Saccharomyces cerevisiae S288C: one gene and its partners. The gene in region 1 interacts genetically with each later gene. Each region holds a gene or a part of one and is shown on either strand. Other genes may lie near its edges.

Region 1 (5,742 bases):
CATGATGTGGAGACAAATTCTAATGCTGCTAACGCAAGAGCAATCCCAGGAGCCCTAGGTTTGGCTGGTGCAGTTATGATGCTTTTATGATCGAATAGTCTTTAACTAGAGACTTATTTTAAACAGGACATGTGTTTTTTACTAATATTGTATTCTTCGATGTAGTCGTTATAGTTCTTTTTCTTCAAATCATTTAAATAAAGAAACTATTTTTTCTTTTTGTGTGTAGAATAATAAATGTAATTCTAGTTCTTCCTTTTTTTTTTTGGCTTTTTCACAGCTCATCTTTTTTACCCATTTGGTCATGATTATGTTGTTTGCCGTTGTGCAATAGGGAGTTTGTAAATCCTGAGATAAAGTATGGTGCTTCGAGGTTAGCACTTAATTGGCGTAAGCTGCTTAATGACAAAACCCTCCTTGGGCTTGGCGTATACGAAATATGCTCCTGCGAAGCGCAGTGGCAATATTGAGCACTATGTTAACGATAACGTGTTGGACTCATCGTCTGTGCACATATGATTGAAATCGGGAATCCTCTGCTTTTTTTAGGTAAAATCAAACTTTGGCTAAATTTGGATGATTACTTAAAGTAAGAAATGAATCTTAAGAGATGTATGAGTTTTGTGATAATTGTTGTGATTCCATTGTTGCCAAAGGCCATAATATTTTGAAATTCACATTCCTTCTACAAGGTATTTGTTTCTTAAATGTTCATCTCCAAGAAATAATTGGTTTCGTGGTCTAGTCGGTTATGGCATCTGCTTAACACGCAGAACGTCCCCAGTTCGATCCTGGGCGAAATCATTTTTTAAATATGCCAAGCATAAAGTGTAACTCTGTTTCTCTGTCTGTCTCTATTTCTTTTTTAAAATCGTGCTCACTATCGTATTGTATTGTATTGTATTGTATTATTGCTATATTATTTTTTATGTATTTTGTCTATAATACCACCCCCCGTCTTAATTTCTCTTTTGATACATTAAAATATAGGCAGTCCTCGAATCAGAAGCTTCTTCGCCACCTTTCAAAACGTCATCGTCCTCTAGTTCGGTAATATTTACATCATCTATTCTATACCATTTGTTGTGCTCGCTATGATAAACATCCGCTGTGTAATGACCGCCATCGGAACTTACCCCATGATGGTATATAACTCCGGTTAGCTTATATCTTCTATCATCAATCCCTGAGGTGTTGTTTTTCAATGTTATGGAAGACATTGATTCTTCAGGTATGATTAACTCGTGACCATATTTAATTTTTTTCCTGATCTTCTCAATACGTCCATTGTACGCGTTATAGTTCGTCATTGCGTTGTCTTTGTTCACATTATTTATGAATGAGAATCTTTTGAATTGGATTAAAAGAACTTGCGGCAATTTATCAATAAAAGTCTGCTTCTTGGCCTCGACATCATTCCCTGACGAGGACTTAAAGGGTAGCAATTCGTATTCACTAAATTTTTTGAATGCAGTTTCTAGATCATTCACACCAGCATCTGAAATGTCCAATTGAATTGTTTGGAACGGATCGAGTGTAATCGATTGAGATTCCTTATTGTTCGGTATATCTAACACAGATCTGAACTGGCCACCGAAAAGTTTGGAGATTGGTGATGGAACAATCTCGACAGTCCTCTTGGCAGCGGTCTTAGTTTTCTTGCCTCTTTTGCTAGATCCGCTCACTTCATGCCAACCATTTTCTTCGGTAGAGTCATCATTGATCACGCCATATTTTTCTATCAACTCCTTCAGTCTAGGACTAGCATTTTTGATAAACTCTGCTTTTCCATAACGTGACAAATTTCTAATAAAGAAAACTTTCAATTGTTCATCATTAATACTTTGCAGCATATTTTGAATTTCATTATCGGTTAAGCCATCAATTGCAGAAATTAATTCCTCGTGTAATTGGTCCAATAAGTGGGTCAAAAATTCTTCTGCGTCTTCCTGATGGCCCCATTGCAAGTCTTTGAACTTCGGTATAGTAGACAAAGTTTTGTAAAATTCGTCAGGTTTGACAGCATCGGCAGTGGCGCAGTGTTGGAAACTCTTGGATTTTGATGATTTTTTTGCATCACTTTCCGTGGTTTTTTCAGCATCATCAGCATTCTCTAGGAATTTTTTCTCATAGGTTTCCTTATCGAATTGCTTATACATAGTCAAACAAGCATCTAATAATTTACAGGATGATGTGCCGACTCTTGAATTGGTATTCCGTGTACTGAGAACGTTAATTACATCAATAAATGGCTTACAGTAGAGTAACACTTGTAACACAGAACTCATAAAACAAATGTTGGCTCTGTTAATTATGCCTCTTGGAATAATGGAATGGACTGGTATTTTGTTTTCAACATCTTTATTCCGTAAAACGTAACTAATGAAATCGGGATCAAAACACATTCTTAACGCAATCGAACCCAGTGGCTCAATACCCTTTGTAGAAGGTGGAACGTATTTTTTATCCTTTTTCTGAGGCTGCTTGGACAACAGGGGAGAGCTGGATTTACCTATAGTCGCCGCAGCCATGTTTGTTGATGAAACGCCTGCGGTCGTACCAGAAATTGGTGTTTTAGTGACCATCGATCCGGAGACTGTTTTGTTACTAGCTTGTCTACTTTTAATCGCATCTGATGCTATGGCGGACCAGGATTTTGCTGCTGGAGGAGATGGTGAAGGTGAAGATGTCTTGGAAGTATTTTCTTCAACAGATTCCTCTGGTTCCTTCTTATCCACTACAGGTAAAACAGTAGCTTGAGGTTCCTGTATAACTTTTTCGTTACGGTCTTGCTTAGCATCCTCTTTCTTTACTTCAGTTTTCTTTTTAAGCTCGTGCGCATCTTTGCTCGCATGTGGTTTTTTATCATGAGCATCTTCTTCTTCCCCATGTGTTTCTGTCTTTACTTCCTCATTATGCTTTGGTATACTATGGCTTTTTGTGTGATGATGGGCAGAGCTCTTTTCTACAGATGAGTTCTCTAAGCTTTCAGAGTTTAGGTTCAAAGCCTTCATGTTTAATTCGTACCTTTGGACACTTGCCGCAGCAAATTCTGCTTCCGTAGTGTTTATGAACAGTGGCAATTGAATCAAGTTTGATGAATTTTCCTTGAGATTCTTTAATTTAGTGACATCAAACTTGTATAAATCATACTGTGAAGAAGAGTTGTAGGAAGAGTACGATGGTGAAGTAGCCGAAGAACCGTTGCCGTTGGAAGAGTTGGTCTGTTTTTTCATGCCCGCATTGCTGCCACTGTTTGGAGAGGCCATCATGGGGATATGATTGTTAGAGTAATTGTGATGGTAGGTGTGGGATTTGTTGTAGCTCATGCCGCTACCGCTAGAGTTGGCGCCTTGATTACCGCTGCTTCCATTGTTATTGGTAATGCCATTAGAGTGCCACTTCTTCTTGTTAATGTTGTTGTTATTGGTAGTGCTTCCGCCGTTAATATTGTTTTGCGGAGGCAAGTGATGTGGGCTGCCACTTTGATGGTAGATTGGCTGGTTTTGGTTGACCATATTAAACGAATAGGCAGGTATTTGTGTGGGGTATAGATATGGGGCCTGAGTGTAGCCGTACATCTGCAAAGGCGCTTGATAAATAGGAATCTGCATATTGGTTGGCGTAGGTGGTGGTGGAGAAGAGGTTTTCGGGTACATCGAGTACGACTCTTCTTTGTTAGCGTCTTGCATGTTCATTTTTTTTAATGATGATGGAAAGGAAAGCGGTACCTGGATGATGGTAGCAGACGAGTCTGACTTACTATTAAAATGACTTTCTTCTCTAGAAACACTTCTCTTCCCTTTCGCTTTTTCGCTGCTTGTTTGTTTTATCACATTATATTTTTTTCCTTCTTTTTCTTTTTCTTCCTTGCCTTTGCCCGTAGAAAAATTACCCTCTTATTACCGTTCACCTATATACGTATTCCTTCTACATAGTTATGTTATTGGTGATCGCATGAGATTTGCAAACAGCACCAAACAGCTCAATGCCCCTGTCGATATCATCAACTTCTAAGAAACTAATAGAAAGCCTAAAGCATGACTGACCCCAGTTTTTCTCATCGCCGATGACCTCGAAATTGGAGCCGTCGGCAAGGATGACATTAAATTTCTTGGCAAGAATAGTGGATATCTCCATGGCATTGTACGCTGGTGGGAGAGTGATCCAAGTAAAATAGCCGCCCTTCAATGGCATAATCTCGGTTCCTAGGGGCATGTATTTCTTAAGCGCCGAGGTCAAGACAGTGGCCCTCTCGGAGTATACGGATCTCAGATGTGCAATGCATCTCTGGGCGGCACCACTACGCAGCATCTCACCCACGATCATGGAGTTCAGTTGTGAGGGAGTTCCGCCAGAGACGTTTGCACCACCTTTAGATAGCTGTCTGGCGAGATTCGCGTTGATTGACTCATGGTATCCAAATCTGAGCCCAGGGGCGATCAGCTTGGAGAAAGTTGCGTTGGACACTGTATTCCCGAACGAGTCCTCACCGGAGGGCGCTGTACTTCTGTCTATGTGCACCATCCTTAGGGGCGGAGAGGGCAGCTCATCTGAGGGCGTCGTGTAATCTAGAATATCGTACACGTCATCAGTGATTATCAGCATGTCGTACTTCCGAGCGATGTCGATAAGTCTGCGTCTGGTCTCAAGCGAGTATGTGTTTCCCGATGGGTTTGCAAACGTCGGGATGCAGTACATAACGTACCTGTAGACCTTCTTGGTCAACTTTGGCCCCTGAATCATCTCTGTGGTACTATGGGGCTGCGGCTCCGCCTCGTGCTGCTCAAGGGCAGAAATCAACGACTCGAAATCAATCGAGTCGTGGCCCTGCTCGTTGATGGCGGTCATTTTCCCCTTGAATCCCGCATCTGTGAAGCAATTGTTGATCAAGAAATATGTTGGCGTGATGATGAACGCCTGCCTGGTATACCCGTTATGTGGCAAGGTTGTTTGCAGAAGGATGTTCAGCATGCCATACGAAGCGCCGCTATTCAGATTCAAATAGTCTGCCCGTGTCCTGCTCCGAGCCCCATTTTCGAACTTAAACAGCTGATCATTCAGAAACGTACAAATCTGCTCTCGCACCCACAGGGCACCTTCGTCCGAACCGTACGTCAGCGGATGCCTGTTATAGGGGTCGTTATCGTACTCCCTGGTCTCGGGCCCCAATATAGCCGCAGTCGCTTGAATTACTGCTTCTCGAGGCAGCAACCTCGAGCTCGGATGGCCCTTGAAGAAATTGATTTCCTTGTATTTCATTACCGCTTGCTAGCACGCGTTGTTCCTTGTTACAGCGATGCTCCACCCAGATTTATGTGTTGATTTCAAATCCTCTTCTCTTTATCACTAGTTCGGCATCCAGCAGCGGCAGCCCGCGATAACTTTGACGGAACTCCGCCAGCACACGTCGCGCCTGCGCTGGGCCGGGAACATGCCAAAGGACACCAGCCAGTAGTAGCGGTAGTGACCATTCGTTCTTTATCACTAGGGGCTGTCGTCCAAACAACGCCAGGGCAGCTGCTTGCTCATCTTGCTGCATCAATGCTATGCCCATAGCCTTGGTCATTTGCGGGAAGTCGCGCAGCCTTAATGGCGGCTGCCCTGGTAGCGTATCCATCTCCTGCAAGAATACCTTCCACTTTTCCCTGAGCGCCGTGGAGTGCATTGTGCCACGCGCAAACGCTTCGACTTTAATCCGTCTAAGCTCATACTCAATCAGTTCATCTTCTGGGCTGGTGC
Region 2 (3,645 bases), on another chromosome or scaffold:
TTTTCGATCATGATATTGCTAACCTTTTCTAACTTTTCCAGAACATTAGGCCTCGAATTTATTTGATCCATGAGTTTCTGCACCTTTATGTGTGCATCTATTTTGTCATTAGGCTGTCTGTCGTCCCAAGATTGAGCGTAAAATCTTCTCGGAGAAATCCAGGAAAGCCTCCTTAAACTCCTGGTGTGATTAGTGGTAGAAATGTTCGATAGTTCTATCGAACGAGTGACTCTGGAACTATGCTTCCATATAACTCTTAGCATTATGTGTGGCTGTAGTATCTACTTTCTGCTTCTTGTGTTTATTCTAACTTTTTATTCGTCGGTTTTGTTACATCTTAAATTGTATTTCTTTAGTTCTGACCGAGCCATATTTAATGCATAGAAGATTAATAAAGAAAACATGAAAATCATAAATAATTAAAAGTAACTGGACGAACAAAAGATTTTACGTGAGACAGACAAAAAAAATTAACACCAGCAGTATATGTATATATGTACATCGTATATGAATATGCCATTTCAACAAATTGGATATGGTTGTATGTTTGGCTTTTTCTTTTCCTGGATTCCGGCTGTCAAATACTACTACGAATAGAGTCAGAACAGGCTTTTCTGTCCCTTCCTCCTATTGTTTCCTTTGCTCTGTCCGTGGCTACTCTCATCTTTTTCTATTCTAAGAGAATTTCCATCTGTTACCACATGCTTCACATGTACAGAAAGTGGTCAATGGTTCATCCGCAGATCTTGTTTGCAATTGATAGTAAGATACCTTCTTCTCTTTACATTTACCACATGTAAATCTATCGGTGACTGACCTTTCTATGGTGGCACCCTGTGCGTTGTATAAGTTTTGCTTGGCAATTTCTTCTATCTTTTGCTTTAAGGGCGCTGGTGCCAGATCCTTGGCATCGCATGTAGCTAAGAATTCAGGTGTTATATCACCGTTGGCAATTTTATGTTTGAGATCTGGGTTATTCTTTGATATGACGTTTGAATAAATTATACGATACCTGGCTTTGTAAGCGGCTTCGTTGGTGTCACAGTTGTTAACTTTATTCATTTCACTTTCTATGGCCTTTGCAGTATGCAAAATAGATTGAGGTGGATGCTCACTTTCCTTGGCCAAAACGTCGTAGAGTGCTTTTAGTACCTGATCACGTAATTTGTGGTGGTATATAGCTGTATCCACACCATCGTTCTTACTATTTCTTGGTTTAGTGCTGACGTACTTGTCTTGTTTCATGGCATCTGACTGGGAGGAGGCCGGCTGTTGAACACCATTCACGGACTCACCTACAGTTGTCTTGTCCTCTGCATTGCCTGGCGCATGATCTTGATGATGCTGCTGTGCTTGCCTGGAACGCTTATTTTTATTAATTGCGTCTTTCCAAGAGCTAATCATTTTCTTCACGAGTTTGCTGATCTCTACATTAGTGGATTTTTTAAACTTGTTGACTTCCACACCAACTTTTGTTTCTCTCAGTAACTTTTCAGTGGGGACGAATTCTTTATCCAAGACATGTAAGATTTCTAGAACTGCAGCATCATTACTTTTGTTCTTTTCTAGATTCTTAACATGTACCAGTACTTCCTTACTATCCATGATGAATGCTCTTATGCGGACTGACTACACTGTGAATGTTCTGCTGCTTGAGTAATTTTTCATTCAATATTTTTCAATACGTAGTCCCATCATCGAGTGATCACTTGGTCATATCAGCACAGTGGGGCGGGTAAGAGTTGAAAATTTCCCTATAATGAAATTGGATATTATATATCAAAAAGGCGTTGTCATTCGAAGCATCGTTTCAAAAGAAGGTCCGTAAAGTTAAGGTGGGCTAGTGAAGTATCTCATAATTGTTACAATCACCATAAGAGAAATCTTGCGTTTAGAATTTCCTAAGAGAACCGAGTCACTTCTAGCACTTGCTTTAAACAGAAACACTTGTAATAATTGTTAGAGGGATATACAAGAAAGGCTATATACCAATAGCATCACATAGACACGTTAATTATCAATACATTGAAAGAAAAGACGAAAACGATAAAATGAATAGGCAGAGCGGTGTGAATGCGGGGGTACAGAACAACCCACCATCCCGAGTGGTGTATCTGGGTTCTATACCATACGATCAAACAGAGGAGCAGATACTTGATTTATGTAGTAATGTTGGGCCCGTGATCAATTTGAAAATGATGTTCGACCCCCAAACTGGTAGGTCGAAAGGGTACGCGTTTATTGAATTTAGAGATTTAGAGTCCAGTGCCAGCGCAGTACGTAATTTGAATGGATACCAATTAGGCTCTAGGTTTTTGAAATGCGGTTACTCCAGCAATAGTGATATATCGGGAGTTTCACAACAGCAACAACAACAGTACAACAACATTAATGGGAACAATAACAACAATGGAAATAATAATAATAATAGTAATGGGCCGGACTTTCAAAACAGCGGAAATGCCAATTTTCTAAGTCAAAAGTTTCCAGAATTGCCCTCTGGTATCGACGTTAACATAAACATGACCACCCCTGCTATGATGATATCGAGCGAACTAGCTAAAAAACCGAAAGAGGTGCAGTTGAAATTTTTACAAAAATTCCAAGAATGGACAAGAGCGCATCCTGAAGATGCTGTTTCGCTATTAGAGCTGTGTCCACAGTTGAGTTTTGTTACGGCTGAATTATTGCTAACGAATGGGATATGTAAAGTGGATGATTTGATCCCGTTAGCTTCCAGGCCGCAAGAAGAGGCATCGGCTACGAATAACAATAGCGTGAACGAGGTGGTGGATCCAGCTGTGCTTAACAAACAGAAAGAACTACTGAAACAGGTGTTACAACTGAATGACAGTCAAATTTCTATCTTGCCCGATGATGAAAGGATGGCTATTTGGGACTTAAAACAAAAAGCATTAAGGGGAGAATTTGGTGCATTTTGAAACTAGGGAGGCAAAAATACAAAAAAAAAATGCGGTTCCGCAATGATGAGGCAACAATCTATCATATTTTCCACGTGAGGGAGCTCAAAGTTCGGTATATAGCTTACATCTCAATATCACAATCACTTTTTTTTTTGACGTCTTTATAAATATAGAATAACGTTTACGTTACTGCTATTTTTTCGTTTCTTATCTCAGTTTGCCTGAGGACGGCTATAGTTTTAATCATTAAACGTATATTAAGTACACATGAACATATATAAATCTCAGGTTTGTGCATGCTTCGATTTTTTTTTTCTATGTTAATGTCATGGATCATTACGTGGCTGGGATAGTGGAAATATGCAAACATGATTAAGGCGCCTAGTTCCAACACGGCGCAAGCTGCGAGTATATGACTTGTTACCTGCACTTTTTAATAGTCATCACAAGGGGGAGGATCGCTTTCTAACTGTTGTAGTCTTTTTTGTTCAAGTTCTTGTTTGTCTTCCGACGGTACACTGACTTTATCATTTGGCGAATACTTTGGAACTGGAACATCGTCACTATCATATGCATTTAATGGGGCCAACCAATCTCTTAAATTCGATGGAGAATTTTGAGGAGCCGTGATTGAGGATTGGGATGGGATGCTTGCATCAGATTGCTGCTGTTCGGATCTCGTCGTTCCTATGACGGTTTCTATGGACATACCAGTTACATT
Region 3 (4,970 bases), on another chromosome or scaffold:
TGGACCAACCATACTCCCCACTATCCGACATCTGGTCACTAGGTTGTGTTATTTTTGAGATGTGTTCGTTGCACCCCCCATTTCAGGCAAAAAATTATCTCGAGCTACAAACTAAGATTAAAAACGGGAAATGTGACACCGTCCCTGAGTATTACTCTAGAGGGCTTAATGCCATAATACATTCAATGATAGATGTGAACTTAAGAACCAGGCCTTCCACTTTTGAATTACTGCAAGATATTCAGATACGAACTGCAAGAAAGTCGTTGCAATTAGAGAGATTTGAAAGGAAGTTACTGGACTATGAAAATGAGCTGACAAACATTGAAAAAATCCTCGAGAAGCAAGCTATTGAATACGAAAGAGAACTGAGTCAGTTGAAGGAACAATTTACCCAGGCAGTGGAGGAGCGAGCCAGGGAAGTAATTAGCGGTAAGAAAGTTGGTAAGGTTCCAGAATCTATAAACGGATATTATGGTAAAAAATTTGCCAAACCTGCATACCACTGGCAAACAAGATATCGATAAAATTTGCTCTGAGAACATTTATACATTAATACATACGGGTATGTATGAATCATATTCAGTGAGGAGTTACACTGGCGACTTGTAGTATATGTAAATCACGTTAGTGAGACCATTTAGACCCTGTCAATGTTTCATAAGCCTCTATATATTTGGCCCTTGTCCTGTCGACAATGTCTTGGGGCATTTTGACGCCGTTAACACCGTTCAACTTATTAGCAGTAAGCCAGTCTCTTAAAAATTGCTTATCGTAAGAATCTTGGGATTCTCCTACCTTATAAGAGGCACCGTTCCAGAATCTAGAGGAGTCTGGCGTTAGCACCTCGTCCACTAGAATAATTTCATTGGTCTTTTCGTCAATACCGAATTCGAATTTAGTGTCTGCGATGATGATGCCCTTCTCCTTAGCATAATCTTTGCACTTGGAGTACAGTTTTACAGCCAGTTCTGCCACTCTACGTGACAAATCTTCACCCACCAGCTCAGCGGCCTGGGCAGGAGAGATGTTTTCGTCATGTTCACCTTGTTCAGCCTTGGTCGATGGGGTGAAGATTGGTTCTGGGAACTCTTGAGATTCTTTAAGTCCTTGAGGTTGTTTCAAACCATGCACAGTACCTGTTTTTACGTACTCTTTCCAAGCAGATCCGGTGATGTAGCCTCTGACAATTACTTCCAATGGAATTAGTTTATGTTTGTGAACCAATAGAGAGCGGTCTTCTAGTTGCGTTTTGTACTTTGGTTCGCTCAATTTTGCAGGTAGATAATCGAAAATAGTCTTACCTGGGGCGATGTCGACCAAATGATTACGAACATCGTTGGACAGGAACTTGAACCAGAACTCTGACAGTTTGGTCAATAGGATCCCCTTTTCAGGAATGCTGTTTTCCATAATAACGTCATATGCAGAGATACGATCCGTAGCAACAAACAGCAACGTACCAGCGTCTACCTCATATATGTCTCTAACTTTACCTCTGGCCACCAATGGCAATATACCGTCCAGTTCAGTCTTCGTAATTGACATTATCGTTAATATTTCGTATGTGTATTCTTTGTAAGCAATGCTTATGATTCGATTGTTCTTAATAGTACCAACTGCAAAAGATAAAACCCAACCGTCTTACCTCAAAGAATCTGGGTAAGAATATATAGAATGTATATATATATATATGTATGTCTATATGTATTAGATGGCATCTTCGAGATTAGTATTATTACATCCTCATCTCTCGCAAGAGTCAGACTGACTCGTGAATAAGCTTCGGGTGACCCTTATGGCATTCTTTTTCAACCTTCAGGAAAAGTTTCAGATGAGTTGAAATTTCGAGTATGGCTACATGGATCAAGTGCTGTAAACAAAGAAGCTTCTACAGGGGTACGCTGGTTGTGTTTTCTGCTTTGCTATCGTGTAGAACTGGATCCATTCTTTCCTGGCTGTGGTAGTACTTAAGGAGTTGGACGTGTTCAAGTCGAGAAAGAGGTGAAATACACGTAGTTTTTAGATAACATTCTCTGCTTGGTAAGAGAATGAGTAATAAGGAAGAGCATGTTGATGAGACTTCCGCAAGTGGTGTCAAGGAGGTTAGTTCTATAGCTGCTAGACATGACAATGGTTACGCGCCTTCGCTAATCACGTCGACGTCGGGCATGGACTCCTTTCAATCGCACGCGCTACTGAATGATCCAACCCTAATAGAGGATTATTCAGATATCATTAATAATAGGCCTACAAGTGGAAGTAAACTTACTTTAGGAAACGAGGATTCGGAGAGTATGGGCGGAAGTGTTGTGGTGACTCCGACTTCGAATAAGAGTTCGCCCTTCAATTCGAAACTTAATATACTGAGTAATGCGGCAGAAAAGGGCCATGATGTTCTGCGAAATAGAGATGATGACAAAGAGTTAGAGGAGGAGAACGTGGAAAAACATATGCATAGCAACAGTAAAAGGGATCAGCGACATTACAAAGAAAATTCTTCGGAATTGCCCGACTCATATGATTATTCGGATTCTGAATTTGAGGACAATTTGGAAAGAAGGCTACAAGAGATCGAAACTGATTCCGTGGATAGCGCCGATAAGGATGAGGTGCATTTTTCAGTGAATAATACAATGAACCCTGACGTTGACGATTTTAGTGATGGCTTGAAATACGCCATCTCGGAGGACGAGGATGAAGAGGAAAACTACTCTGATGACGATGACTTTGACAGAAAATTTCAAGATTCAGGGTTTCAAGGGGAGAAAGACGATTTGGAGGAGGAAAACGACGATTACCAACCCTTATCGCCGCCAAGAGAACTGGACCCTGATAAACTATATGCTTTATATGCGTTCAATGGCCATGATTCTTCACATTGTCAATTAGGGCAAGACGAACCTTGTATACTTTTGAATGACCAGGATGCCTATTGGTGGCTGGTTAAGAGGATCACTGATGGTAAAATCGGGTTTGCGCCAGCGGAAATTCTAGAAACCTTTCCAGAAAGACTAGCTCGATTGAATTGCTGGAAAAATGAAAACATGTCTTCTCAATCGGTTGCTTCCTCCGATTCGAAAGATGATTCCATCAGCTCTGGTAACAAGAATCAAAGTGATGCAGAGAGTATAATTCCGACACCTGCACTGAATGGATATGGTAAGGGGAACAAATCTGTTAGTTTCAATGATGTTGTCGGTTATGCAGACAGGTTTATAGATGATGCAATTGAAGATACCTCGTTAGATAGTAACGATGATGGCGGTGAAGGCAATGGACAGTCGTACGACGATGATGTTGATAACGACAAGGAAACAAAAGTAACGCACCGGGACGAATACACTGAAGCGAAGTTAAATTTTGGCAAATTCCAGGATGATGATACGAGCGATGTAGTGAGCGACGTCTCCTTTAGTACATCTTTGAATACACCACTAAATGTGAAAAAAGTTCGGAGACAAGACAACAAAAACGAAAGTGAGCCTAAGACATCATCGAGTAAAGACAGAGAAGATGATTATAATGCAAATCGGTATGTGGGGCAAGAAAAGTCTGAACCGGTTGACAGTGATTACGATACCGATCTGAAAAAAGTATTTGAAGCGCCTCGTATGCCATTTGCGAATGGTATGGCAAAATCAGACTCTCAAAATTCCCTTTCAACAATTGGCGAGTTTTCACCGTCGTCGTCAGAATGGACAAACGAATCACCATCCACTCCAATAGTTGAAGAAAGCAGCAGTATTCCATCATCTAGAGCAATAAAGGACATTTCACAATATATTCATGCAAAATCGAAAATTGAAGAGACAACAAACGTGGAAAACACAGAGGGGCAAATTCAAGCCAGCTTGGGGTCTAGTGGAGGAATGGCAAATCAAACTGACGCAGAACAACCTAAAGAGGAGCTAGAAAAACATCACAGTACCCCCGAAGAAGAAAAGCAATCAACCTTATCGTTACACTCATCATCTGAAGAAGATTTTTATATGGATGAACAAAGGGCGGTATCATCAGCAAGCATAAATAGTTCACTTTCCGGATCAAGGGCATTGTCTAATACCAATATGTCCGATCCGGCTTCGAAGCCCAATTCTTTGGTTCAACATCTCTATGCTCCAGTTTTTGACAGAATGGATGTGTTGATGAAACAATTGGATGAAATTATTCGTAAATGATATTGTCCTTACAATAAAGCCTGGTCTTTTTCTCATCCAACGAACTTGCATCATATTCATGAATATTTATTTGTTTTAGAAACATTTCGGAAAAAATAAGGTAGTAACAGTTCAGCATATATGATAGCTAAAACAAACAACTATATATCGTATCTACAAAGTTTATCTTACTTCTTCTATTTTTTAACTTTGCTTCAGATTATGATAATGAAAAGGAGGAATAAAATTCTGTCATTATTCAGCATCCTCCAATGTGTCATAGGGATATAACTGGGGTTGAGGAGGTAGTAGTCGACAACTACTTAGTCGTGATACAACAGTATGGATAGGTACTTTCCACGAACATTACTGATGACAGTCAGCTATTCACGAATTCAATTGTGTTGGATTAACAAAAAAATTTGGACGCAACCGGAATCGAACCGATGACCTCTTCCTTGCAAGGGAAGCGCGCTACCAACTGCGCCATGTGCCCAACTCATTACAATACTAGACTTATGAAGGAATGGTAAGTGCTTAGAAGCTTTATGATGTAGTAGAGATTTAAGGCCATCAATTACATTGTTGAAAATAAGAACCTGTTGGAATAGAAATCAACTATCATCTACTAACTAGTATTTACATTACTAGTATATTATCATATACGGTGTTAGAAGATGACGCAAATGATGAGAAATAGTCATCTAAATTAGTGGAAGCTGAAACGCAAGGATTGATAATGTAATAGGATCAATGAATATAAACATATAAAACGGAATGAGGAATAATCGTAATATTAGTATGTAGAAA
Region 4 (3,473 bases), on another chromosome or scaffold:
AGTCATCAACTCTTAATCAAGCTTACCATACTCTCAAAGATCCCCTTAGAAGGTCACAATATATGCTAAAACTCTTGCGCAATATCGATTTGACGCAAGAACAGACCTCAAATGAAGTAACTACCAGTGATCCACAGTTACTATTGAAAGTTCTAGACATCCATGATGAATTATCCCAGATGGACGACGAAGCTGGTGTGAAGCTGCTTGAAAAGCAAAACAAGGAAAGAATTCAAGATATTGAAGCCCAGTTGGGACAATGCTACAATGACAAGGATTACGCCGCCGCAGTGAAGTTGACCGTGGAGCTAAAGTACTGGTACAACTTGGCCAAGGCATTCAAAGACTGGGCTCCAGGAAAACAATTGGAAATGAATCACTAAAGTACTCCAAAGTGGTAATAGTAATAATAATAATAGTGGTGATATAAAAACTGAAACAATGTAAATAGGTAAAGTACATATGTATATGGTAGGGCAAAGAGGAAAATAAATCAAGGGTTAAACCGCCGGTGTCTCGAACTCGCATTTGGCAAATTCTTCCCAGTCCTCCTCCGTGGATGGATATTGTCTCAACCACTTCATTCTAGGACCAGATACTGCCTCATCATTTATCCTGAACCCAAAAACTTTCAACTCGTAGGACTCTTTACTTTTCCTTTCCACATACTCTTCCAATTCTTTGAAATGTTTCAAGAACACACCAGGGAAGCTTGTCCCCCAAAATGCACCTTCTAAGCACAGGAATCTAGATGATTGGGGAAGATACAAGTCCTGACAACTGGGACAGTACAACCTTACGGTGTGTTTCCCAACTGTATCGCTCAACCCACAAGGCAGCAACTGCATGCCATTACAATAGTAACGGGGGCACGTTCCAAATTCCTTGTGGTCGAATTTTTCAGCCATTGCTTGCAGGCCTGGCTTGGTCAGAATAAATCTTGCATGTATCAATCCGTATAACTGTTCTGCTGCGTGCTCGATAATACTCTTGTTCACCACTGGCGACTTGTTTCTCCTTTTGCCTTCATCATGACCGTCATTACTCTGCATCTCTTGATCCACTTCGTCTTCTTCCACCACGTCGTCTTCGTCCTCTTCTTCATCACTCATAGCCTCCAAATCCAATATCAAATCCAGAGCTTTCCGGTAGTGGGGTACCTCTTGGGATAACGAGGTCATATTGAAATCATCCTCGATAAACTCTGTCGGGACTTGGCAGAAGTACTCGTGACCAAATCTGGAACAGAACGATGGAATCCACTCGTCATAAGCTCCACTATCCTCGTCGTCTGAGGACCCTGTACGTGAATAGTCTTCCACAAACTCTTGCGACATAGTTTTCTCTCTCTTTTAGCTAATGGTCGCTTCTAAATACCAATTCACCAATTTACAGATTCGGATTAACGTCACTATCGTGTTTTGCACGTACCAACTACCTCCTGTTTTTGTCATTAGACACTTACCAGTTGATGTTTTCACTTTTTCTTTCCTTCCCAAGAGTGAAAAAAAATCACAGAGTAGTGGTATATACAACAATACCTCGGGATAAAAAGACCAGATAAAAGAAAGCAGGACAGTTTGCAATCCTTGAACTACGTCTAGTTGATTGAAATAGGAGAAATGCATTGGGCAGCAGCGGTAGCGATATTCTTTATTGTGGTCACAAAGTTTCTACAGTATACAAACAAATACCACGAGAAATGGATCTCTAAATTTGCACCAGGAAATGAATTATCCAAAAAATACTTAGCCAAGGTCAAAGAACGTCACGAATTAAAAGAATTCAACAACTCTATCTCCGCGCAGGATAATTATGCCAAATGGACTAAGAACAATAGAAAATTGGACTCGTTAGATAAAGAAATAAATAACTTGAAGGACGAAATACAATCAGAAAATAAAGCCTTTCAGGCCCATCTTCACAAACTCAGGTTATTGGCATTGACGGTGCCATTTTTTGTGTTTAAGATTATGTACGGCAAGACACCAGTTTACAAGTTGAGTTCCTCGACTAGCACCTTGTTCCCTACGTTTGTAAGTGGTGTTTGGTCTCAAGGCTGGTTATATGTTCTCTTGCATCCTCTAAGGACTATTTCTCAGAAATGGCATATAATGGAGGGCAAATTTGGTGCTTCCAAGTTTGATGATATGGCTTTACAGAGTGTCTCTTTGGGAATCTGGGTTTGGGCATTGATGAATGTCATCAACGGCGTGGAATTTATCGTTAAGCAATTGTTTTTGACTCCCAAAATGGAAGCACCTGCATCTGTGGAGACTCAAGAGGAGAAAGCCTTGGATGCTGTCGACGATGCCATTATTTTAGATTAGTGTTATTACATTATGTACGTATATATAATATGTTTATGTATTGGAGTATACAATAGAAAGAAAATGAAATATAAATGTCAACATTCCTATTTGTTTTATTTATAAAGTTTTAGTAAATCTCCAGTATTCTTAATGTCCTCCGTCTCCAATCTTTTGAATAACTGCCCCCCTCTTTTATGAACTGCCAAGTTCATTTCCAAATGGTTTATCACCCTTGCCATTTTATCCCTGTTTGCATCATTCTTACCAAGCTTCCTGTCACCAAACTTTAGTAAAACGCGTGACAGGTAATATAACCAATACAAATTTGTCATGGGCTCAAAAGCTGACGCGTCCATGTTCAACAAGATCCGCATACTTTGATAGATTTCAAACTCAAATTGATACTGGTATTCGTTTATTTTACTCTTGTCTTTCCCATTTAGAAAAAAGAGTGGATGATCTAGCCGTAGATATAAAACATCATCTTGAGGAGTTTGCAATCTACTGCATTTAAAATCAATAATTGTTATATTCCCATTACCATCTATCAAAATATTATCCAAAGTAAGATTACGATGTTCAAATTTCAAATTTTTTTCCAACCCATGAATTATACCAGCACAAGACCAAAAAATCTTTAGAATCTGCTTCCAGTTTTTCAGTGAGATTAACGAAATTGGGGTACCGTGATCTTTGAATAGTAAGTACAAATACAACCCCCCATTTGCCTCTTTAACAACAAAACTTTTCAATAGTTGCGGTATGCCATCAAATTTTTGTTGCATGATTTTGAGTTTTTCCAGTTCCTGCAAAGATAAGAACTTTCTATCCCATGTAATGTCATCAATAGTACCGAGAGAAACTTTTTTACAGATTACTTCACCAATTTGCCAAACATTTGATGTTAATTGTATTGATGACAAATGGTTTACATCGTTGATTAAAGGCAATACATCTCCTTTTGCGGGGTTTAAAATTCTCTTTATATCACAATTTAGTAAAATCTGTCTTAGAAGTGTCTCATCATGATCATTTTTGTTCATCGGTAAAGATGATTTAGAATTTAATGAGAGTAATGAGGTCGAATATCTTAATTTGTTCTGAATTTTATCACGGGAAACTTGGTCCGGTACAGGTAACGATATTCGGTGACTCAACGTA

What was found.
Region 2: mutations in UBP3 (region 1) and DST1 together harm fitness more than expected from each alone (negative genetic interaction), as found in Saccharomyces cerevisiae (6 studies listed by BioGRID, with this or other methods).
Region 3: mutations in UBP3 (region 1) and BUD14 together harm fitness more than expected from each alone (negative genetic interaction), as found in Saccharomyces cerevisiae (4 studies listed by BioGRID, with this or other methods).
Region 4: mutations in UBP3 (region 1) and CKB1 together harm fitness more than expected from each alone (negative genetic interaction), as found in Saccharomyces cerevisiae (4 studies listed by BioGRID).

The regions. Positions count from the first base shown.
Region 1 is NC_001137.3:468,727-474,468, forward strand, and holds UBP3 (mRNA-binding ubiquitin-specific protease UBP3), read right to left. Parts: upstream 3,699-5,742; coding exon 960-3,698; downstream 1-959. Other genes in the region: SPI1 (Spi1p), read left to right, coding at 1-90; YER152C (2-aminoadipate transaminase), read right to left, coding at 3,931-5,262; PET122 (Pet122p), read right to left, coding at 5,315-5,742. UniProt on the Saccharomyces cerevisiae protein: Has an ATP-independent isopeptidase activity, cleaving at the C-terminus of the ubiquitin moiety in natural or engineered linear fusion proteins, irrespective of their size or the presence of an N-terminal extension to ubiquitin.
Region 2 is NC_001139.9:415,443-419,087, reverse strand, and holds DST1 (transcription elongation factor DST1), read right to left. Parts: upstream 1,606-3,645; coding exon 676-1,605; downstream 1-675. Other genes in the region: DPC13 (Dpc13p), read right to left, coding at 1-263; YGL041C-B (uncharacterized protein), read left to right, coding at 202-384; RNA15 (Rna15p), read left to right, coding at 2,052-2,942; RIM8 (Rim8p), read right to left, coding at 3,358-3,645. UniProt on the Saccharomyces cerevisiae protein: Necessary for efficient RNA polymerase II transcription elongation past template-encoded arresting sites.
Region 3 is NC_001133.9:165,953-170,922, reverse strand, and holds BUD14 (protein phosphatase regulator BUD14), read left to right. Parts: upstream 1-2,051; coding exon 2,052-4,181; downstream 4,182-4,970. Other genes in the region: serine/threonine protein kinase KIN3, read left to right, coding at 1-527; ADE1 (phosphoribosylaminoimidazolesuccinocarboxamide synthase), read right to left, coding at 628-1,548. UniProt on the Saccharomyces cerevisiae protein: Important for bud site selection. Seems to be a regulatory subunit of the BUD14-GLC7 type-I phosphatase complex. The BUD14-GLC7 complex is necessary to regulate microtubule dynamics at the cortex and may function as a specific activator of the dynein complex.
Region 4 is NC_001139.9:456,020-459,492, reverse strand, and holds CKB1 (casein kinase 2 regulatory subunit CKB1), read right to left. Parts: upstream 1,338-3,473; coding exon 501-1,337; downstream 1-500. Other genes in the region: J-type chaperone JAC1, read left to right, coding at 1-383; GET complex subunit GET1, read left to right, coding at 1,623-2,330; protein kinase ALK1, read right to left, coding at 2,426-3,473. UniProt on the Saccharomyces cerevisiae protein: Regulatory subunit of casein kinase II/CK2.